Kluyveromyces lactis: one gene and its partners. Each later gene encodes a partner of the first gene's protein in a complex. Links are inferred from orthologs where the notes say so. Each region holds a gene or a part of one and is shown in the gene's direction. Other genes may lie near its edges. The genes, in order: FIP1, PAP1, SWD2, YSH1, SSU72, YTH1 and CFT1.

Region 1 (2,789 bases):
AAGCATGTTATCAGTCGACACGATTTACAGCCAAGGTCCATCCATATGCCGTCGATGATCCATACTCAGCCTGTCCATTTGATTCACGTTCACAATTTGAAATTTTTACAGACGAGTTTTGAAGAAGAAGATGAACAGAGAATTATTTGTTCTTCTTCTACACCACCTTCACTGGCTGACACAAGACACAGTTCTGTTTTCTCTTCTACAAGAAGTATCAACGTGTTACTGGAAGAAGACGAGCAAGATTTGGACAATGACTTGCAGTGCATGGCTCCAGTGAAGAAAAAACAGCAACGTGCATTGGTGGCACCCATCATGTTCTCCTCTTCATCTTCAAAGAAAGATTCGGTCGTTTCGGAAAAGGATCAGTTTGTTTACACGCTAACTAACAAGTTACTACCTTATTTTGGGTATTTCTTGGCTGATTCTAACGATTTGGATTATTTCGATAAGATTAGATTCCAAGAAATTGATTACAAGTTCTCCAAGACGTATTTTTGATGGAACAATCCTCATCCTTTTATCCAGATATTATTTTTCCCCCTTTGCTATAGACTGCCTGTATGATACACCTGCATATTTTTTTCCTTCTTCATCATATTTCTTACATTCATTCCTTTCTAATTCTCTACTTCATTTCAAATTACCTTCCATTTTTTTTTTTACTTTGTTTCTGTGGGTGCGGACACAAGGTGACCATGTTTAGTCAACCTTACAGGTCCCATAAACACTTCAAAAAAGAACATTCACTTCTCAATTGCAGTTTACAATCGACTTTTTTGAACATTCATTCTCAACAATGTCTGACTCTTTTCAACACATTAAAGACACTCACTCGCCTGTAATGTTTGTTTCCTCTGTTGTTTTCTGTCAATTTTTTTAATTAATTCACACTTTTACTCTGAAAAAACAGGACAAAGTATTATGCTTCGTCAATAAGATGCACTTTTTTCTTTGGTTTCCCTTGTTACTTTTCCATATCTTTAATTCTTACCATCGCATATTCTTTCAAGTTCGTTAACATCGGAAATCGATACTGTCCGCAACATGCACATCTAATTCTTCTGTAAATCATGTATTCTCATTAGCTACACATTTAACCCATATTATACATTCCGTCCAAACAAGCTGAGTCGCTGTCCGCTGTCCGGTGACAGATATTCATTAGAAATGTTTGTCATTGAATACGACAATAATTTACCCGGATATGCGTCGATTTAACAGCATCATTTTGGTAAATCTTAGCATTGAGAGTTAACTATTAGTTGATTTCTATATGAGAAGAAGAACTATCTTCCTGTTAAGATACCTTTTGGGTTGCGCAGCCTTCCAAACTTTCCAAGCATTTATTGATAAATCTTCTACCAGTCCACGAACGACATATAGAAACGAATCGTTATGAGCAGTGAGGATGAAGACGATAAGTTTCTATACAGCGATGAGGAGGATTCTAACGTAGTCGCAAAGCAAGAGGGTCCTGCATTGAAAAGACAAAAGGTCGAAGAAACACCCAAGATACTAGCTCATGATGTACCGGAAGGTAATACGAATGAGGTAGAGAGTGAGGCCTCCAATCAGGATAGTTCATCAGATGAGGATGACAGCAGTGACTCAGATTCAGATGTTGAGATTATCATCGGAACTGGTAACGATACCTCTAAGATAGATTCTGGTAAGTCCCAGATATCTGCTATAACAGACACAACGCCTCTTGGTACAGCGGATCATGCTATTGCAGCAGTGGCTGGTATATCGGACGTGGTTCCTGTACAGGAGGGTTCAATACCACCTGAACAGCAGCAGCAGCAACAACAAACTATTGATTTGAACCCGGATGCACAATTCGATGGGAAACCTATAGTACAGATCGATCCAGAAATTCTAAAGGAGAAGCCCTGGAGACAACCAGGAGCGAATATTTCAGATTATTTCAATTATGGATTTAATGAACAGACTTGGATGGAATATTTACATAGACAAGAACATTTGACGAAAGAATACAACCCACAAAAGATTTTGATGAACCTCCTAGCTTTACAGCAGCAAGGAAAGTTAAATGATCCAGGTTCAGGACAACCTGTACAGAATACAATCCAACCTCCTCCTCCGCCTATGGGACTTCCCCCCATGTTTGGTGGTTTCCCAGGATTTCCATTTCCGGGTATGATGAATAACATGCAAAATCAAAATGTATCAAGCATGAACAACATGAACAACATGAACAACATGAACAACATGAACAACATTAACAACAACAACAATAATAATCTCAACGACAAGAAATGAAATTTAGTGCTTGAGGCTCGTATTGATTGCAAGCAACATTAATGATATATAGCGGACATGTACATGTATTTTCGATTCCTTGATGGAATTGTAACACAGCTTAGTTTTAAAGACCTCATGTTGACATTTGTTATAATTAGAGAAATGACATTAATATACTATACTTCAAAAAAAATGGCAAAGACAAACTATATATCTGAATACTATAACAGTTTAAAAAGTAATGTTGTATTGTTCGTTTTCAAAAACTCTTTTGATCCATGGTTGATGGAATTTATTCAGTTCAACAACGCTGGTCAAAATTTCAACCCATTGTTGTTTTAAAAGATTAGAATCAGCGTTAAAATTTATAACTTCATCATTTGCAAAAAGGAGTTTGAAGCAATCGCTGAAAAGTACCATATCAGTAAAGTTTCTCATTTGTTTTCCAGTTGCCGTTTTACCATCAGAGTATATATCTACTACGTTTAGAAGATTCAACAAAGTTTGTGGTTTTCTGG
Region 2 (3,630 bases), on another chromosome or scaffold:
AATCATCAAATATCTTGATTCTTCCATATCTGGATTTTCGTTTATATATATGCATATACTTCCAATTGAATTATTGTTGGATAAGATTTACAGGAAATTGAACATACAATTTGCAAATTCAAGCTCGCTCATTCTTATGATTGGGGTCTTTCACGTAATTATTGATTTTTCCTGGGTCTTGAAATCGATTTTGAATTTTTCTGGCTTTAAAAATTTAGTACAAAATGAAATAATATAACAAAGTGTGAACTTTTGAACTTACTATACCTTTTATTTGGTTTGAGTGTGTGAACAGGAGAAGCTAAAGTTAAAACCAACACTACATATCCCTTTGGTCCAAACTTGCCAGTACCTTCAAATTGAACTTCTTAATTCTTTCATTCGCTGGACACTCCTGAGACAGAATTGGTAAAGGAAAGAAATAAAGGGAAACGGAATTCTCAGACAATACAATATTAACTGGCTGATTTTTTTGTCTACACACATATACACACAGTCTCTCTCTATCTGAATATAACTGGATAGTTTGTGCTAGTTACGTTTTTAGTTCAAATTAGTGACGAGCACATCTTTTGATATTGGTCACCTGTTACCAACAACAACAACAACAAAAGAAGTTAGTGTCAGACTCACAAATACTGAAAAAAGCCTTTGCATTGGAACTTTGGTGTATTAACTCTCGGAGATTATACACATCCGACACTTATTTGATTATCCTCATCACGAATTAACTTGTGAGGAGTACTTTTGACGGTTCTTTCTGATCTAGGAAGACGTAGCAAGTCAAAACTCATTCAGGTTGTCGACTTCAGTACAAGACGCACAGGTTTTCAAGGACACTTACGATAATTCAAGGACGGTGATTGGCGACCAGTTGAATTCAATAAGCTCGGATCTTGCAGGGCTCAAGGTTTCCGGTTGTGATATCACTTCTGAGGTAGTACTAGGTGCAGTAGGGCTAATAGAAGAAGAAGAGGAAGGGGGAAAAAGTTCAGAATCTGATAGTGTAGGATCATCTCCCTCCAGACAAAGAAACCGGCATTTAAATCTCAATACAAGCCGAAACACATATCAGCATCATTTGCAACATCACCACCATTATAATCAAAGACAGCAGCATCAGCAACAATATTTCAATCAGCCAGGGCTACATTACGTTTATTATTCACCGGCTAACTCACCAACATCGTCTCCAATCTCAAAGAAGTTTCAGAACTACATTCCAAGAAGACAATCCGCGGACAGCCTTTTAAATACCGGGGGAAGTGATTATCTGGATAGAGCAAGGAATAGAAATATACCAGATTACAGAAACAAATATTATCCCAATACAATGTCCCAGAAAAAGATCTTTGGTGTAACGGGCCCGATTTCCACGGAGGGTCCCACTGCTGCCGAAAACGCATTAAACGATTCATTAATTCAACAGCTTAAGAAAGAAGGCTCTTTCGAAACGGAGGAAGAAACTGGGAAGAGAGTGGCAGTATTAGAAATCTTCCAAAAATTGACACAAGAGTTTGTATATCAGGTTTCAAAGAAGAAAAACATGTCCGATGGTATGGCTCGTGATGCTGGTGGTAAAGTATTTACCTTTGGTTCTTATAGATTAGGGGTCCATGGTCCAGGTTCCGATATTGATACGTTGATTGTGGTACCTAAACATGTATCCAGAGAAGATTTCTTTACCGTATTCGATGCTCTGTTGAGGGAAAGACCAGAACTTGAAGAAATTGCGTCAGTTCCAGATGCTTTCGTCCCAATTATCAAGATCAAATTCAATGGAATCTCCATCGATTTAATCTTTGCTAAACTAGATTTACCCCAGGTTCCAATAAGTTTAACTTTAAGTGATAAGAATTTGTTAAGGAACGTTGATGAAAAGGATCTAAGAGCGTTGAACGGTACCAGAGTCACCGATGAAATTTTAGAATTAGTGCCTAATAAAACATCTTTCAAGATTGCATTAAGAGCTATTAAGATATGGGCAAAGAGAAGAGCAGTATATGCAAACGTCTTTGGGTTCCCCGGTGGTGTCGCATGGGCGATGTTTGTGGTAAGAATCTGCCAATTGTACCCTAATGCATGCAGTGCGGTAATAATATCAAAATTCTTTCAGATTTTATCACGTTGGAAATGGCCACAACCTGTCCTATTGAAGCCAATCGAAGATGGTCCTTTACAGGTCCGCGTGTGGAACCCCAAAATATATGCACAGGATAGATCCCACAAGATGCCTGTGATTACACCAGCGTACCCTTCAATGTGTGCTACCCACAACATCAGTGAGTCAACTAAGAAAGTGATCTTATCTGAATTACAAAGAGGTGTAGAGGTCACACAAAAGATTTTCTCTAATGAACTATCATGGGAAGATTTGTTCAAGAAACACGATTTCTTCTTCAAGTATAAATTCTACCTAACGGTTATGGTCTCAACAAAGGGTTCCGACGAACAACACTTGAAATGGAGTGGATTCGTTGAAAGTAAGCTCAGATTGTTGGTCCAAAAACTAGAAGTTTTACCAGGAATCAATCTGGCGCATCCATTTATTGAACCATACGAGTCCAGCTATATATACAATAATGAGGATGAATATAAAGAGATCATGAACAACTACGGTACACATAAGACAGAAGGTGTATTGAAAAAGTTTACAAAAATAACTGATGCAAACAAAGACGATGAAGCCTCCAAAAACTCTAATCAAGTTCACATAGCCACGATGTTTATTGGACTTGACATCAACACAGAAGAGAGTAAAAAAATTGATATACACATTCCATGTCAAGAATTTTTCAATTTGTGTCGCTCATTACCCGACTATGAGGACCCTGAAACGTATTCTTTAATCATCAAGTATGTGAAAGTGCATGACTTACCGGATGAAGTCTACCAAGAGGGGGAAACACGTCCTGTGAAATCCAGCAAGAAGAGGAAACCGGAGAAAAGTGGTGAAAAGAGTAAAAGACCTAAATCCGATCCGTCCAATGGCAAGTCTACTACTACTACCAGTGGCAACACCAATTCTTCTTCCCCAGTAAATGACGCTAATTCCACTCCATCATCAAATGTCCCAGCAAACAGTAATACCAATGCTATCACCGAAGACCCAATGACTGCGACAACATAGAAAGTCTTACGATCCGTTCATACTACCTCTTCAGGGTTCGCATAATGCATCATGGCCAAGGCAACGTGAGTCTCCCCTCAAGCCTTAGCCCCAGTCATTAACAAAAGTTTCTCTACATTGAACGCGACACATAAACTCAACTTTCCCACTAGATAAACTAAGTAAAAAAAAAAAAACGTCTCATATCACAGAAAAGAACAGATCATTACTATAATAGTGAAGCTGTCCGCCACATACCCCATTGTTTTGCATAAACCTACCATCTCTAATCTGAATATTTTTGTTCTATCATCAAATATGTTTAACTGGTACTTATTTTTAGTCAGCTATGTGCCTTATCTTGATACATAATTGACAGATGCGGACAAAAAGAGTCAAAGGAAAACCACAAGAGATAGAAGGTTAGCCAGTTAGACACTGATAAAATCCGAGAAAACAAGACGTTACCGATACCCGAACAGTATCATCTGGTTCAGCCGCTGTTGATTCAACAGGCAAGT
Region 3 (2,900 bases), about 1.1 Mb from region 1:
GGAAGTTTGGTAGGCATTAAGTATTGGTTCTTGCCCTGAATTGTGTTCATTTTGTTGCTTGTTCTGTTTACTTCCCTTCTCCTTTTCGATCTCTTTTAGGGTTTTATCAATGCCAATAGGTCGCAAACTTGAGTAGCCAAGAGATCTTATCAGCAATAGTGTCGATTTATCTAGAATGTTAATGGTATTGGAATCAGACACATCTCCGTCATTATTGGCAATTAAAGGTTTCTCACTATGGCAAGTATACGCCGCAAGAGGAATCAATCTCTTCCCAGGCTTGATCCGTCTCTTGGTATCTTTATCAATGTTCCAACTCACCGGTTTCCCTTTTCTGCTTGTCTTGCTTTGCAGAAGCTCTTTTCGTAGATTGTTTATCAAAGGAATGTTATTGAAATCGGATGGTGCAGAAGGTTGTCTGAAGGCATCAAGGCCATACATAAACTCTCCAAGCCCCATATCTTACTTGTAAAGCCTACTGTCTCCAAAAATATTTTGTGAACAGCCTCTTAATGTCTGTTATTGCCATTGACACAGTGGTGTTTAACAGGACACAAGTAAATCATGATTTAAAGGTTTTATTTTAAAAGAAATAGAAAAAGCATCAACAAAAATAAGGAGAGCTGTACTACTCACCAATTACCAGTAGTTAAACGCCGGCGTCTTGATGGCATTCACTCCAGTTATCTTATATTTGATATGAATTGATAGAAGACACTAAAAAGAACTGAATATTATATATTAGTATGTATGTTTGAATAAACGTTATTGGTGTAACTACAGGTTACGCTTTCTTTCCATATGATCCAAGAACTTGTCAAAAGGAGTCTGTTTCCTAAAATAAGCACTTCTTTCAGCCATGTTAGCCAACTTATCGAATAAGTATTCTCCCCAGTCAAGATACCGTTTAATATAATTCTTCAAGTCAGACATTTCATAAGCGACAACATAATTGTTACTTCTACGCAATCCAGCCAATACCATAGACAACAACGCTAAGTCAATACTGTAATGAACTATATCTTTAACCTGATTGGAATTTGATAAATGCAGTTAAGATTACCTTTTAGTTAGTAAATCAAAGTCCGTTGATGAAAACGGTGGTGTATCTAACCACCTTCTTCAAAAAAATGAACGGTACGTACACCCATGATTCTTATTACAAATCTCAAATATGTCAGTTCTTTATAAAGCCAGAGTAAGACCAGAAAGGCTCTATTTCTCTACCTGCAAGTGACTAACACTATTGATTTCTTTGACAGATGTCATTACAATTTCGAGGAACATTTAAATTTAAATAAAACTGTTAACACCATCAAGAAATATTACCAATTTGGAGACAAAAAGAGAAGCTCAACGGGACACCAGCGGTTTAGCAACAGTTCTGTGATTATCTAAAAGTTAGCTGAGAAAGGAAATATGACTGTTAGCATTTCCAAGAGCAATCTTCTACGATTTGAGCCTGTGAAGTCCTTCAGAGTTTCTGATAAAGAATTGGGACCTATAACTTCAGTGACATTTGATGACCATGGCCAGTACTTGTTGACTGCAACTGCTAGTGATAATATGCATCTATATGATGCAGTAAGTTGCAGGTTTTTGAATACCATCGCTTCTAAAAAATACGGATGTCATTCCGCAAAGTTTACACATGCGCAATCAGAATGTATCTATTCATCCACTATGAAATCGTTTGACATAAGGCATTTGAATCTTGAAACAAACACATACCTTAGATATTTCCAGGGCCATGGTGCTCTAGTGAGCGATATACAAATGTCCCCGTTGGATGATACTTTTTTGTCTGCATCGTATGACGAATCGGTAAGACTTTGGGATTTGAGAAGCTCCAAGGCACAGGCCCTTATACCAAGTTTAGTCCCCACATGCATTGCTTACGATCCAAGCGGGCTTGTGTTCGCCATTGGTAACCCTGAGAACCATGAAGTCGGTTTATATAACGTAAAACATTTGAAGGCGGGCCCATTTTTAGTTATAAATGTGGATCCAAGCTTTGATCAGTGGAATAAATTGGAGTTTTCAAACGATGGTAAATATTTGTTGCTTGCGTCGTCCGCTGGAAAACATTTGATCATGGATTCCTTCGATGGTACACAGTTATTTGAATTATCAGGAACTAAACCTTTCCCATTGAGAGAGTTCATGGATTCTGGATCCGCAACGTTCACTCCAGATGGACGCATTACATTGGGAACTGATTACACTGGGAAGATCGCGATATGGAACCACGCAGACTTCATCAGTGGTAGGACGCTCAAACCTCAAGGATTTATTAACGCCGCACCAAATACATGTCCCAGAACTATTGCATTCAATCCTAAATATAGCATGTTTGTCACTGCAGATGAAACTGTAGATTTCTACGTATATAACGAATGAATTATACTGGGATCTGGATATATGACTTCGAAGCCAGACTCTACCCAGAGCACCCATCTATTTAGGAATGGCACTCGACATCTCGATAACATTTCCATGTTACCGATGACACAAAGCTGCCTTTTAGGTCTGGTCATCGCGACATTTAATCTTCTTTCATCTTTCAAGAACCCAACCTCGAAATTCTCGTTACTTCTTACTAAAGATAGGATGATGCACTCCTTTTCTCTACCTTGAAATCCGTCTACGGTAGATATCTCAATTGCTTGATGCTTTTCATGGATGAGTTTTTTCAACAGCGATACTTGTGAATTATACGGGGAGATCACACCAATACTTTCTTCCGTAACACCAGCCTTTATCAACTGCTCAACGTGGTATAATGCCAAATATGCTTCATTTTCGTTGTATTTTGAAGAGACTAGGTGGAACTTATCGTCTGCATCGTTGTCATTTTCATCAGACCTTTCTGGAAAGTCGTCTCCCTCAGTATCTAACCA
Region 4 (4,013 bases), on another chromosome or scaffold:
ATAATCTTCAATAATGGTACCCATACGATGATCAACAACATCTCCACATGGACCAACGACTCGGTTTTGGATTTGATGAACAGTAATCATTACGTAGATCCACTGAATGGAGGCAACAATATGGGCAACCTAAACGGATCTTTACAATCATCAGCGACAACAAATGATCAAAAGACTTTTGTCATGCCCAATCGAGACAACAATCCTGGCACTCTGAATAACTCCCTGAATTGGAGAAACTCTTCATTTACCAACATGAATATGAACTTCAATCAACCAGATAATCAGCAAGGTCAAAGACCACCGCAACAGCAACAACAACAGCAATTGGAAGCTATGTTGTCAGTTCCCGTTGAAGAATTTTGGACCGTTAACGACGATTATGGATTCCTCACTTGAAGCCTTCAATTCAAACGTTGAACACCTCTACAGAGGATATTCCCCGTAATTAAAGAAAAAAATACAACCATTTTTCATACTAAGTGTTAATGTCTTATGTTTCCGTCATTCCACAACATTTCGTTTTCATTCTACTCTTTCCTTTTAATTCAAAGAGTATTCACTCGTTTTTAGTTGTAATATATATCTAGCAAAAAAATTTGTGTTTACATACATTCTGCAGTTTAATTCGTTTCATTCCATTTTACCAACACACTTGCAGTAATTTAGCCAGATGTGACCTGATCCAAGTAAATAAATCTAGTCACGTGACCTATCCTGTTCCCTTTACCCTTTGTTTCATTCTGATATATTGTCGATCAGAAATTCTACATATTATTATTTCAACATCTACATAGTAAGGGAAAACAATCAGTTTAAGATAGGTGTTAGAACCCGACAAGCAGCAAGATTCTCACTAGAAACAGTACGTAACGACATTTGTTATCAAGATGTGTTCTCAAATCATCTTAGGTTGCCTTCAGCCCTCTCTTTACTAACTTTTCGTTATCAATATCTACCTCTACTCCCTCTGTACACCAATATGCTATTTCCTAGTTTCTCACTTTTTTCTCACTTTTTTCTGTAAGACATTAAAACCAGTTAACGTTTATTGAAAATCTTAGCAATTCAACATAAAGAAGAGTGTCCTGTCCAATGGTTACCGAGCAACCTCTGTTGGTATTCGGGCACTCATAACAGATATCGGGGGGCTCAAGCAGACAGTAACTTTTGACGTGTTTGTGAGAGCATTTTGTCTGTCCTTTGCATTGTCAAGAAATGACTCAATTGGAAAATGAGGTTCCAGACAAGGACCATCTTCGCTTTTTCTCACTAGGAGGATCCAATGAAGTGGGGAGATCGTGTCATATACTTCAGTATAAGGGCAAGACTCTAATGTTAGATGCAGGTATCCATCCGGCCCATCAAGGTTTAGCTTCATTGCCCTATTACGATGAATTCGATCTCTCCACAATCGATCTTCTTTTAATCTCACATTTTCATCTTGACCACGCGGCATCATTGCCTTATGTGATGCAACGAACGAATTTTCGTGGTAGAGTATTCATGACACATCCGACCAAAGCTATATATCGTTGGCTTTTGAATGATTTCGTCAAGGTGACCAGCATAGGAGACAGTCCAGGACAGGATTCAAGTAATGATAATTTATACTCTGATGAGGACTTGGCTGAGTCCTTTGATAGGATAGAAACTATTGACTATCATTCCACTATGGAGGTAAATGGTATTAAATTTACAGCGTTCCATGCAGGTCATGTTCTTGGAGCAGCGATGTTTCAAATTGAAATCGCTGGTGTTCGTGTATTATTTACTGGTGATTATTCAAGAGAAGTGGACCGTCACCTTAACTCTGCTGAGGTACCACCTCAGTCTTCGGACGTCATAATTGTGGAAAGTACATTTGGTACCGCTACTCACGAACCAAGACAAAACAGGGAAAGAAAGTTGACCCAGTTAATACATACCGTGGTATCTAAGGGAGGACGTGTTCTTTTACCGGTGTTTGCCCTTGGAAGAGCTCAAGAAATCATGCTTATATTAGACGAATATTGGCAGAATCACAAAGAAGAACTCGGAAACGGGCAAGTACCTATCTTTTACGCATCAAATCTTGCTAAGAAATGTATGAGTGTCTTTCAGACATATGTTAATATGATGAATGACGATATTCGTAAAAAATTCAAAGATTCTCAAACAAATCCATTCATCTTCAAGAATATTTCTTACCTCAAGAATTTGGATGAATTCGAGGATTTTGGTCCCAGTGTCATGTTAGCATCCCCAGGTATGTTGCAAAACGGTCTATCTAGAGACATTTTAGAAAAATGGTGTCCAGAAGAAAAAAATCTGGTTCTTGTCACTGGTTATTCTGTAGAAGGTACAATGGCAAAATATTTGTTACTAGAACCTGAGGCTATTCCCTCGGTACACAACCCTGAGATAACTATCCCAAGACGTTGCCAAGTGGATGAAATAACATTCGCTGCTCATGTTGACTTTAGGGAAAATTTAGAATTTATCGAGCTAATTGGAGCTAGCAACATCATTTTAGTTCATGGCGAATCCAACCCAATGGGTCGTTTAAAATCAGCCCTTCTTTCTAATTTCAGCTCTCTCAAGGATACTGAAAACGAGGTTCATGTTTTCAATCCTAGAAATTGTGTCTTTGTTGATATTGAGTTCAAGGATGTTAAGGTTGCCAGGGCAGTTGGGAAAATTATTGAAGATCTCGATGAGTTTATAACTGAAGAAGACGCACTAAAGAATGAGAAAAGAATCACGGAAATCCATGAAGAGGATCCAGAAACAGAGGAAAGTAAAACGGAAATTGTCAAAGAAGAAAATGAGAAAATAGTTTCAGGTATATTGGTGTCAGATGAGAAGAATTTTGATCTAAGTTTAGTTTCGCTTTCAGATTTAAGAGAACATTATCAACAATTATCTACTACAGTTTTGACAGAAAGACAGACAGTCCACTTGGACTGTAAAAGCGAACTAGTATATTGGCATATCTGCCAAATGTTTGGTGACGTAGATGTATACATTGACGAAGAAAACGTCTCATTGAAGAACATCAATCCCGAATTCAAGACGAGGAAGATAAAGAAGGGTGAACTAGAAATAAAAATCATGGGAGATGTAATATTAAATATAGTTGACAATGTAGCTACATTGCAATGGACTCAGAATGTTATCAGTGATTCAGTCGCGGATAGTGTCATGGCAATTCTACTGAGTGTCGAGAGCGCTCCAGCAAGTATCAAAATGAGTTCGAAGTCATGTGGACATCATCATGGACACGATGATCACACGACTAAAATTAAGAACATATCGAGAGTTTTCAAGGAACAGTTTGGTGATACTTTTACATTATTTTTGAATGAGGAAGACTCCAAAGAAGAAATAAAAGGCACTATCAACTTAGGAAAAACAACAGCATGTATAAACTTCTCAAAAATGGTTGTGGAAGAATGTAACTCTAATCCATTGAAAGGTAGAATAGAGAGTTTATTAAAAATTGGCTCCGACTTGGTGGCCCCATTGTGTTAATCTGTCTCATATATAGATATGATTATATATGAGCTAGTCATTAATCATCTTTTTGCATTAACTATATACTTTTCAACCCTATACTGCCATCTTGCCAAGGTGTTCCTCTGTACTAAATAATCTATTAAAACTTTAAAGATGCATTCAAGTTTCAATTAACTGAATGAACATATCGTTTTCGACAAGTTACAAAAGACACCAAGAGGACAAAAAACCATTTACTAAACTACTAAACGCGATATATATATATATATTCTCATTATAACAGTAAATTTTAAATCAATCTACCAATACCATGGCAAAATCAGAGCTACAGTGAGGTATTTCATTCACATTGCCAATCCAGAAGAGACAAGATAACTCAATCACGTGACTCATAAATCCTTTTGCCTGTGTAGTTTCTTTTTGCACCTCAAGAAAATTTTTGGGAAGCTCATCTCATCTCATCCAGAGTCTGAACGTACAAGAGCTGTAAAACAGGCTAAATGGGTCTCAACTAT
Region 5 (2,334 bases), on another chromosome or scaffold:
GCCAAGCGCAACAGCCAGAAGCATAAAAACATTGATTGAAGGGTTTCCCCTTTGTGGAATTAAGAATTGTATAATTTCAACTCAGTCGGCAGATATATACGAAGATGAGGTCACAAGAATTTTTCATAAGGATAGGGATGCTAATTTACTTCTGCTGTTTGCTGTCAGGTTGGGTGTTGACAAAATCAACAGCTTATACTGGAAAGACATATTCAAGATTCTCTCATCACCATATTCTGTCGGGATCGCAGGCGGTAAACCCTCGTCATCATTATACTTTTTTGGATATCAAAATGAAAATCTTTTCTACCTTGATCCACACAACACTCAGCAATCTTCTTTAATGATGGATGATCTTGAATTTTACCGAAGTTGTCACGGACACAAATTCAACAAATTGCATATATCAGAAACAGATCCGTCAATGTTACTCGGTATGTTAATTTCAGGTAAGAATGAATGGGATCAGTTTCATACTTATTTCAGAGATAGTCAAATTATTCAATTTTTGACAACCAGGCCAGAAAATGATTTATATCAAAGTGCCAATATGTCTGTCGGTTCTGATTCTATTCACTCATTGGAGTCAGACATACAGGACACTGGAGAATACGTTGATGTTGGAACATTAGTTTCTGGCAAACAAATGTCCTCCCCGCAACCAAAAGATGAAGAATTTGAAGATGTTAAATGCAAAAGCCAGCGAATAATCGTCTGCGAAGATCCAGCTGATCCTGAAGTTGAACAAGTTCTTGTCGAGGATTCATCCTCCTGCTGACTGCTGTATCTTCCTCATTCTTTGTTTAAGATATTATATTAAATATTAGTATCATTATATAATATGGATCCTTCGGCTGTCAAGCACCTAATTCAGCCACAAATAAGGACAGGCTTTGGTAATCGGGTGTAACGGAAGTGACCTTGAACTTATACTAATTACCAATCTATAATTCTATTAAGATTATTACAAGCGTCGCATTTCCGGGTAATATTATTATCTAGCTGCACATTGATAAAATTGACTTTGTTAAGAGCTTCAATGAAAGTTACAAGATATTCATAATTGGTAACCGAAATGGTAGACAGCCCATACTTGCATTTCATATTCAATTATTATAACTCTCATTTTCATACAGTGTTGTCTGCTTAGTGCTACCAGAATAGATAATTTGACTAAAAGTTATTACGAATCTAAGAGGAACTATTAGGCATGAGCGAATCAATGAGAAATAGCGGGCTTAAGTTCTGTACTGTGTGTGCATCTAACAACAACAGGTCCATGGAGTCCCATAGGGTATTGGAAGAGGCAGGGTATGATGTTTCTAGTTACGGTACTGGAAGTGCAGTTAGACTTCCAGGTCTCTCGATAGATAAACCAAATGTGTATTCATTTGGTACGCCTTATGATGATATATATAATGACTTGATTTCTCAAAGTGAAGATAGATACAAGCAAAATGGTGTATTAGAAATGTTAGATCGTAACAGGAAGTTAAAAAAAGCTCCTGAGAAATGGCACGATGGGAGAAAGGTTTTTGATTTCGTTTTTACCTGTGAAGAAAGGTGTTTCGACTCTGTGTGCGAGGACCTGATGAATAGAGGTGGTCAGCTTAATCTAATTGCACATATTATCAATATCGATATCAAAGATGATAATGAAAACGCTAAAATTGGTGGGCGAGCAATATTAAGATTGGCAGATATGCTAAGAGATAAAGTTTTTGAATGTGAGAAAAACGGAACTCAATTTGAGGATTTTATAATGGATGTCTTCACTGAATGGCAAGAGAAATATCCAAAACTACCACTAACTTATTCTGCTGCATATTATTAGTTCTATTTCATCTTGAGTTATATATCATGCTATTCTTGTTTTGCATACTTATTTCGATGGAATTGTAAGCTAACGATTAGTTAAAGATTTTGATGGCACAATTTTCCACGGACCCAAACACTTTTAACATTCCTATCATCACCATTAAATAACCATTTTGCCACAATATTCTCCAGTTTGATTCTATCCTTCCCGTTCGGTTGAATTTTGTCGTTGGTAACTTTTTGCCATGGAAAAATGGATACGTTGCTTCCTTTGGTGGATAAATCTATCAATTGTGCGTCAAACTCTTTCCCTACGTCGAAACTACCAATTTTATCAGACAGATTTAAAACTTTAGCACCACCCATGGTAGCTAGATACAATACTTCGGCGACAGATAGTTTGCATTCCTCTTTTCTTTCAGGATCTTCTACTGACATTGCTCGATGTCTGGAAACTAGTAAAGCTTGCCTAGCATTTTCCAAAATACTGACTGTAAAACCACCGGAAACATCAGA
Region 6 (2,312 bases), on another chromosome or scaffold:
TATCAGTAAACGACAAATGATTTCCAACCCAAATAGGAGGCCTTAATTTACATATAAAATAGTAATAAAGGTACTACTTGACTGATAACTTGCCGCTTATCACTTTCTAACTGACAATTCTATATATTCTTTTTTATAATGACTGTCACCCAAATCCTATTCTTTTCAGCATGTTGGGTTTTGTATGATTCTTAAATTTCAACATCGGTTGAAAAAAAAGGGTCGCAGGCTCCATCGTCAGTATGGCTATATAAAGAAATATTGAGAAGTACGTGCAAATTGCTATTGAGTTAAGAAAACGACAATTCGTAGACAAAATCACTGTTTATAATTTAATCTTTCGATAACGAAGAAATTCGGTTAGAAATCAGTCTCATTTAGTTCAACTCAGAATTGTGTTTTATATCCTCGAGTGAAGACAGACCAATCGACATAATAGGTAAAGAATTAGGAAAGATGTTCAGAACAGCAGCAAGAAACCTTGGCGTGCCATTAAGAAGAAGTGTTTATGTTGGATTCAGCGGTAGTTTATTAGTCGGTGGTGGATCGTTGTTGCACTCGATGCAACCAAGCTCATATATCATGAACGATTCAATTGTTGATGTTAAGCAAAGAACGAATCTACCACAAGAGCTTGGATTGCCAAGCCGTGTTGATATAAGTTCGAAGCAAAGAAGAGTCAACTACAGACAAATGTGCTACGGGTCAATTTTAGGTCTAGTGTTCGGTGTTATCTTTGGTAAGATATCAAGTCTTCTCGTGTTCATCACCGGGGTTGGATTCGTTGGGTTACAATTCTTGCAGAACAGGGGAGTTATCAGCAGTGACAGCACTCGTTCTCTTTCCAAATACGTTGTGACCATCGGCCGTGAGAGGATTGATTTGAACACATTGATCTGGGACAAACCCAGCTTCAAAGTCTCATTCATCTTGACATTTGTGCTAGCTGCACTTAACGTCTGATTGGTTCCGAGAACGCTACCTTATTCAGTTCACGTGACTTTTTCTCATGTGAAAACCCAGAATATCCTATAACGTTATATTTAAGAATTAGTAAAATAATTATTGTGTGTAACTCGCTTGTAACATGATTAATTACCAATCATCAAAGACATTTTCATAAACGACTGGTAGGCTACATTAGACTGGGTTGTCAAGGAGATAAGGGAGTTTAAACTAATGAGTATAGTTCATCCAGATACCTCGAAGTACGAGTTTAATTTCGAGCCATTTCTACGGAAAGAATATTCGTTCTCGTTAGATCCAGATAGACCGGTATGCCAATACTATAATTCAAGAGAGGGGATAAAATCCTGTCCCAACGGAGCACGCTGTCCAAACAAGCATGTGCTACCGATATTTCAGAACAAGATTGTTTGTAAGCACTGGCTCCGAGGTCTCTGCAAGAAGAACGATCAATGTGAATATTTACACGAGTATAACCTAAGAAAGATGCCCGAGTGTGTATTCTTCACCAAGAACGGGTACTGTACACAATCACCGGAGTGTCAATACTTGCACGTAGATCACAAGAGTCAGTTAGAAGAATGTGAGGATTATAATATGGGGTTCTGTCCATCGGGACCTGCATGCACGAAGAAACATGTCAAAAAGGTACTTTGCCCCAGATACTTGGTAGGGTTTTGTCCACTGGGTAAAGATTGCGACTGGTCGCATCCCAAATTCAAAGTACCTTCAGAACACAGCAAACTGCGCATCAAGAAAGACGAGCATATTAATACAAGAAAGATGGATGAGGAAAGGGAAAGACGCTTGAATGCCATTATCAACGGTGACATCCTAGTCACGTGACTGAATTTTTTCAGTTTTCATCAGTGCGTTCGTTCTCAGCCACTGCTGCTGTCACTATTCACTATTCAGCTCACCATACGTAATTCGATACAGATACAGATACTAAGTAACATAATACTACACAATGTTACAGCCGGATAATTCTATCAACCGACAGCAAAAGCAACACACCTGAAAAATTAAGGGAACCAAGGCTCACATACCTTAAATTGCTTATCCAATAGGTATCAGACCTCTCAGCCAAAATCATTCGCTGAGTTTCATTTATGGACACGCGGTCGACATATTCCCCAGTATAGAACACTCCATTCCACAGTTTCTTTCGGTTTCTTTTTTTTCTTGCAATACTGATAAGCATTAACCCTGAGAGCGGACGCATGAATGTACACCAGGCAACAGCGTGAGTTCTTGAAGTCAGTTTTCTAATACACCTATAACTGGCACTAGCCAGCTACTGGGATGGCAGTCTCGCATCACAGCAAGGCTGTCGACCGGTACCT
Region 7 (4,210 bases), on another chromosome or scaffold:
CCCTGACTCCCAATTTTATATCTATACATTCATGTTCATGGAAGCTCCCTTGGACTTCAATAACGCCTGCAGGTAACAAACCAGCTTTGTTTTTCCTCGTTAACGCTTCGTATGCACCAATGTCTATAATTACAGCGCCTTGACTGACGAGTCCATGAAGCATCCAGAATTGTCTGTTCTTCAAGTGATGATGATTACTATTGGCAATAAACCTAGTATGAAGAGGAACATGATTATTAACTAAACTTTGCATCTCAGTGAGTTGTAGGTCAGCCAAATCTTGTGTAAGTTCATTCACGCCATCGTCCCTTTCCTGCATGTAGAGAACAATTTTGGAAATGTTTTCTGGAGTGTCGCTCTTCATAATGATGGTATGGACACCAGCATTGGTTGCTAATTCTGCCGCAATAAGCTTAGTCTTCATACCACCAGTTCCAACATCTGATCCAGATCCACCGTCTGTGTTCACACCTGGCAATCCTTGTGATATATCTGGAACAACCAAGATAGGTTTTGCATCGGGATTTGCTCTTGGATTATCAGTGTATAAACAGTCAACATCTGTCAATAAAAATAGATAATCAGCACCAGTCAACGCTGCTGTGATAGCTGATAATGTATCATTATCACCAAATTTGATTTCGCTCACAGATAAAGTGTCATTCTCATTAACGATTGGCACTACTCCCATGGAAAGTAATTCACTAATAGTATTCTGTGCATTCTTATACTGAGTCCAATCAACAATGTCATTTCGAGTAATTAGGATTTGAGCAATTCTCTGATCAAATTCAGAGAACAAGGAATCCCACCTCCCAATTAATCTGCCTTGGCCCACAGCTGCGATTGCTTGCACCTTGGATAGTTTCTTTGGCCTTCCCTTCATATTCATCGTTTTCAATCCGACGGCGATACCTCCACTAGATACAATGATAACTTTGTGTCCTCTTCTGCGTAACTTTACCACAGTCTCCACAATCAATGACATGATAGAAAGTTTTGGTTCTTTGGTCTCTTCATCAACTAGTGATGAAGATCCCAATTTTATGACTATGACGAACTGCTTTACCATCTGAACTTGTTGGAAAACGTTCTTCTTCTCGCGGTCCGTAGAAACCTTTGGTTACAGAAATTTCAGGCCAGATTGACTAATAGCTGCTGCTCACAGACAGTACACTATGTTTATATCTGTTTTGCAGATGCAGTTATTCATCTTTTCAAATGGTCTGCAGATGTCATCGAAACATTTACTTTCAGTTTCTGTGAATTTTTAAATATTCACCGGTTCTTCAAAATATAGGTAACTATCATTACTAAGAACACTGGAAACAGACGAGCGTAGGTGGGCATACTAGCACTCTTCAGTCACACCTGAATCTGAAACGTTTAAATATCGGGGATAGATAATAAATGAACGTTTTTGACGAGATATTGCAACCCACTGTGGTTAATAAATGCTTACATGGGAATTTTACGTCAGCGGAAAGGGAAGAATACGTTGTTGCAAGAACCAATGTTCTCTCTGTATTCAGGGTCTCGCGAGCACAAAAGCTTGTACTTGCATATGAATGGAAACTAGCAGGTAAAATCATAGATATGCAATTACTGCCCCAAATTGGATCGCCTCTTAAGATGCTTGCAATACTTTCGTCGAAATCCAAAGTATCGTTGGTAAGGTTTGACCCAGTGGCAGAGAGTCTTGAAACACTAAGTCTGCATTATTATCACGACAAATTTGTCAATTTAAGCACTTCTTCTTTGAAGACGGAGTCCATTATGGCAGTGGATCCATTGTTTAGATGTCTTCTGGTTTTTAATGAAGATGTTTTAGCTATATTGCCATTGAAACTGAACACAGAAGATATGGAAATTGATGAGGATGAGAACGGAATAAAAGAGCCAATGGCTAAACGCTTAAAAAGGAACCAAGGAATCACATCCGATAGTATAATAATGCCAATTTCTAGCCTTCACAAGAGTCTCAAGCATGTCTATGATATAAAATGGTTAAATAATTTCAGCAAGCCAACTGTGGGAATATTATATCAACCGGTACTTGCGTGGTGTGGAAATGAAAAAGTACTTGGAAATACTATGAGGTACATGGTTTTGAGTTTAGATGTCGAAGATGAAAAAACCACCGTGATTGCTGAGCTTGCAGATCTTCCGAACGACCTGCACACCTTGGTTCCACTGAAGAGGGGATATGTGTTGATTGGTGTCAATGAATTATTATATATCAGTGCATCTGGTGCACTACAATCGTGCATACGATTGAACACATTTGCAACGTCTTCAATCAATACAAGGATAACTGATAATTCTGACATGAATATCTTTCTATCAAAGAGTTCAATATATTTCTATAAAGCTTTGAAAAGACATGATTTGCTTATTTTGATAGATGAAAACTGCAGGATGTACAACATTATTACAGAATCAGAGGGTAATCTACTTACCAAATTTGACTGTGTACAAGTACCGATTGTTAACGAGATCTTCAAAAATTCAAGATTGCCGTTGTCGGTATGTGGTGATCTCAACTTAGAAACTGGCAGAGTTCTTATAGGTTTTCTCTCAGGTGATGCAATGTTTCTGCAACTTAAAAACTTGAAAGTGGCATTTGCAGCAAAACGACAACTTGTTGAAACTGTTGATGACGATGACGATGAATACAGTGCACTTTATGGAGAGTCTCAAAATAATACTCACACCAGAATCGTCGAAACACAAGAGCCTTTCGATATATCATTGTTGGACTCCATTTTCAATATCGGTCCTCTAACATCTCTTACTATTGGTAAGGTCGCATCTGTTGAACCAACTATTCAGAGACTTCCCAATCCTAACAAAGATGAATTCTCAATTGTAGCTACATCTGGAGTTGGGAGGGGATCTCACCTCACTGCATTGCATTCCACTGTCCAGCCCCACATAGAACAAGCCTTAAAATTCACAAGTGCGACCCGTATCTGGAATTTGAAAATAAAGGGAAAAGACAAGTATCTTGTGACTACAGACGCTGATAAAGAGAAAAGTGATGTATATCAGATTGATAGAAATTTTGAACCTTTTAGGGCGCAAGATTTTAGAAAAGACAGCAGAACCATCGGCATGGAAACTATGGACGACGATAAACGTATTTTACAGGTAACTTCAGGAGGATTATATCTATTTGATGTTGACTTTAAGAGGTTAGCAAGATTAACTATTGATATCGAAATTGTTCATGCGTGTATTATTGATCCATATATTCTATTCACGGATGCTAGAGGTAACATCAAAATTTATCAACTAGACTCTAAAAATAAAAAAAAATTCATCAAATTTAAGCTTCCAGAGGCTCTCAATGAAATTATCATCACATCTGGTTCCATTTTCAAGAGTAACATTTGCAACAAATTCCTACATGGATTGGAAAACTCTTCACAAGAACAGCTTCTCTTCACATTTGTAACGGGCGACAATCAGGTTATTTTCTTTACCGAAAAGCACAATGACAGGATATTTCAGTTAAATGGTGTCGATCAGCTAGAAGACATGCTTTTTATAAGTACGTATCAGATTCCTGAAGAAATGAACCCGGACCCATCAATAAAGCAAATCATGTTAAACAGATTGGGCCATCATAAGAAAGAAGAATTTCTAACTATTCTTACGTTTGGTGGGGAGATCTATCAGTACAAGAAGTCGACAAAGCACAGCGGTAAACTCTTAAAATGTAAATCCCATCCTCTAATTACCGGTGCTCCTAACAATGCATACCCTCAAGGAGTTAATAAAATAGAAAGGGTTGCTCATTACTTCCCTAACTACAATGGATATTCAGTAGTATTTATTACTGGTCAAGTACCATATATCATAATCAAAGAAGATAATTCGGTATGTCGGATATTCCGGATGACTAATATACCTATTGTCACAATGGCTAGGTGGGGTAAAAACTCTGTGATGTGCGTAGATAATATTAAAAATGCAAGAGTAATGAAATTAGATCCTGAATGTTATTATGGGAATACTCAGATTCTTAGAAAAATCATTATTGAAGATGTTGTTGAGGAATTTGAAACTTTAGGAAATATTGCGTACCATGAACGGACCGGAATGTATATCATCTCCTATACCAAATTCATCGAATATCAAGCTCTAAGTGAAGATGGTGAGCCCCTTGTAGGTTACGATCCAAGCAAACCAAATAGTACTGGGTATA

What was found.
Region 2: the proteins of FIP1 (region 1) and PAP1 are in contact, whole or in part, in a crystal structure (PDB 3C66), measured with the Saccharomyces cerevisiae proteins. The link is inferred for Kluyveromyces lactis from reciprocal best matches to the Saccharomyces cerevisiae genes FIP1 and PAP1. Residues at the interface, in NP_012626.1 of Saccharomyces cerevisiae: Leu81, Glu82, Val83, Ile84, Ile85, Ser86, Leu87, Thr92, Arg93, Leu94, Asp95, Ala96, Lys97, Leu99; in NP_012927.3 of Saccharomyces cerevisiae: Phe360, Leu362, Gln425, Asp426, Tyr428, Phe470, Lys478, Val479, Asp480, Ile481, His482, Cys485, Thr486, Val489, Asn490, His502, Asn506, Leu507, Ala508, Leu509, Arg510, Phe511.
Region 3: FIP1 (region 1) and SWD2 share a complex: the UniProt entries of both Saccharomyces cerevisiae proteins name them as parts of the cleavage and polyadenylation factor (CPF) complex. The link is inferred for Kluyveromyces lactis from reciprocal best matches to the Saccharomyces cerevisiae genes FIP1 and SWD2.
Region 4: FIP1 (region 1) and YSH1 share a complex: the UniProt entries of both Saccharomyces cerevisiae proteins name them as parts of the cleavage and polyadenylation factor (CPF) complex. The link is inferred for Kluyveromyces lactis from reciprocal best matches to the Saccharomyces cerevisiae genes FIP1 and YSH1.
Region 5: FIP1 (region 1) and SSU72 share a complex: the UniProt entries of both Saccharomyces cerevisiae proteins name them as parts of the cleavage and polyadenylation factor (CPF) complex. The link is inferred for Kluyveromyces lactis from reciprocal best matches to the Saccharomyces cerevisiae genes FIP1 and SSU72.
Region 6: FIP1 (region 1) and YTH1 share a complex: the UniProt entries of both Saccharomyces cerevisiae proteins name them as parts of the cleavage and polyadenylation factor (CPF) complex. The link is inferred for Kluyveromyces lactis from reciprocal best matches to the Saccharomyces cerevisiae genes FIP1 and YTH1.
Region 7: FIP1 (region 1) and CFT1 share a complex: the UniProt entries of both Saccharomyces cerevisiae proteins name them as parts of the cleavage and polyadenylation factor (CPF) complex. The link is inferred for Kluyveromyces lactis from reciprocal best matches to the Saccharomyces cerevisiae genes FIP1 and CFT1.

Annotation. Positions count from the first base shown.
Region 1 is NC_006041.1:534,354-537,142, forward strand, and holds FIP1 (cleavage polyadenylation factor subunit FIP1), read left to right. Parts: upstream 1-1,401; coding exon 1,402-2,289; downstream 2,290-2,789. Other genes in the region: transcription factor IME1, read left to right, coding at 1-504; BUD4 (Bud4p), read right to left, coding at 2,503-2,789. UniProt on the Saccharomyces cerevisiae protein: Polymerase-regulating component of the cleavage and polyadenylation factor (CPF) complex, which plays a key role in polyadenylation-dependent pre-mRNA 3'-end formation and cooperates with cleavage factors including the CFIA complex and NAB4/CFIB.
Region 2 is NC_006038.1:1,161,642-1,165,271, reverse strand, and holds PAP1 (polynucleotide adenylyltransferase PAP1), read left to right. Parts: upstream 1-1,333; coding exon 1,334-3,130; downstream 3,131-3,630. UniProt on the Saccharomyces cerevisiae protein: Polymerase component of the cleavage and polyadenylation factor (CPF) complex, which plays a key role in polyadenylation-dependent pre-mRNA 3'-end formation and cooperates with cleavage factors including the CFIA complex and NAB4/CFIB.
Region 3 is NC_006041.1:1,606,952-1,609,851, forward strand, and holds SWD2 (WD-repeat containing protein SWD2), read left to right. Parts: upstream 1-1,419; coding exon 1,420-2,400; downstream 2,401-2,900. Other genes in the region: MND2 (Mnd2p), read right to left, coding at 1-459; MCO12 (Mco12p), read right to left, coding at 778-1,029, 1,146-1,151; ATP-dependent 5'-3' DNA helicase HCS1, read right to left, coding at 2,382-2,900. UniProt on the Saccharomyces cerevisiae protein: The COMPASS (Set1C) complex specifically mono-, di- and trimethylates histone H3 to form H3K4me1/2/3, which subsequently plays a role in telomere length maintenance and transcription elongation regulation. Involved in mediating RNA polymerase II termination.
Region 4 is NC_006039.1:419,091-423,103, reverse strand, and holds YSH1 (cleavage polyadenylation factor subunit YSH1), read left to right. Parts: upstream 1-1,218; coding exon 1,219-3,513; downstream 3,514-4,013. Other genes in the region: KLLA0_C04620g (uncharacterized protein), read left to right, coding at 1-399. UniProt on the Saccharomyces cerevisiae protein: Component of the cleavage and polyadenylation factor (CPF) complex, which plays a key role in polyadenylation-dependent pre-mRNA 3'-end formation and cooperates with cleavage factors including the CFIA complex and NAB4/CFIB. Has endonuclease activity.
Region 5 is NC_006040.1:1,644,774-1,647,107, reverse strand, and holds SSU72 (RNA polymerase II subunit A C-terminal domain phosphatase), read left to right. Parts: upstream 1-1,210; coding exon 1,211-1,834; downstream 1,835-2,334. Other genes in the region: cysteine protease ATG4, read left to right, coding at 1-778; GUD1 (guanine deaminase), read right to left, coding at 1,915-2,334. UniProt on the Saccharomyces cerevisiae protein: Component of the cleavage and polyadenylation factor (CPF) complex, which plays a key role in polyadenylation-dependent pre-mRNA 3'-end formation and cooperates with cleavage factors including the CFIA complex and NAB4/CFIB.
Region 6 is NC_006042.1:760,786-763,097, forward strand, and holds YTH1 (cleavage polyadenylation factor RNA-binding subunit YTH1), read left to right. Parts: upstream 1-1,179; coding exon 1,180-1,812; downstream 1,813-2,312. Other genes in the region: FUN14 (Fun14p), read left to right, coding at 457-963. UniProt on the Saccharomyces cerevisiae protein: RNA-binding component of the cleavage and polyadenylation factor (CPF) complex, which plays a key role in polyadenylation-dependent pre-mRNA 3'-end formation and cooperates with cleavage factors including the CFIA complex and NAB4/CFIB.
Region 7 is NC_006039.1:880,506-884,715, reverse strand, and holds the start of CFT1 (cleavage/polyadenylation factor CFT1), read left to right. Parts: upstream 1-1,410; coding exon 1,411-4,210. Other genes in the region: PRO1 (glutamate 5-kinase), read right to left, coding at 1-1,072. UniProt on the Saccharomyces cerevisiae protein: RNA-binding component of the cleavage and polyadenylation factor (CPF) complex, which plays a key role in polyadenylation-dependent pre-mRNA 3'-end formation and cooperates with cleavage factors including the CFIA complex and NAB4/CFIB.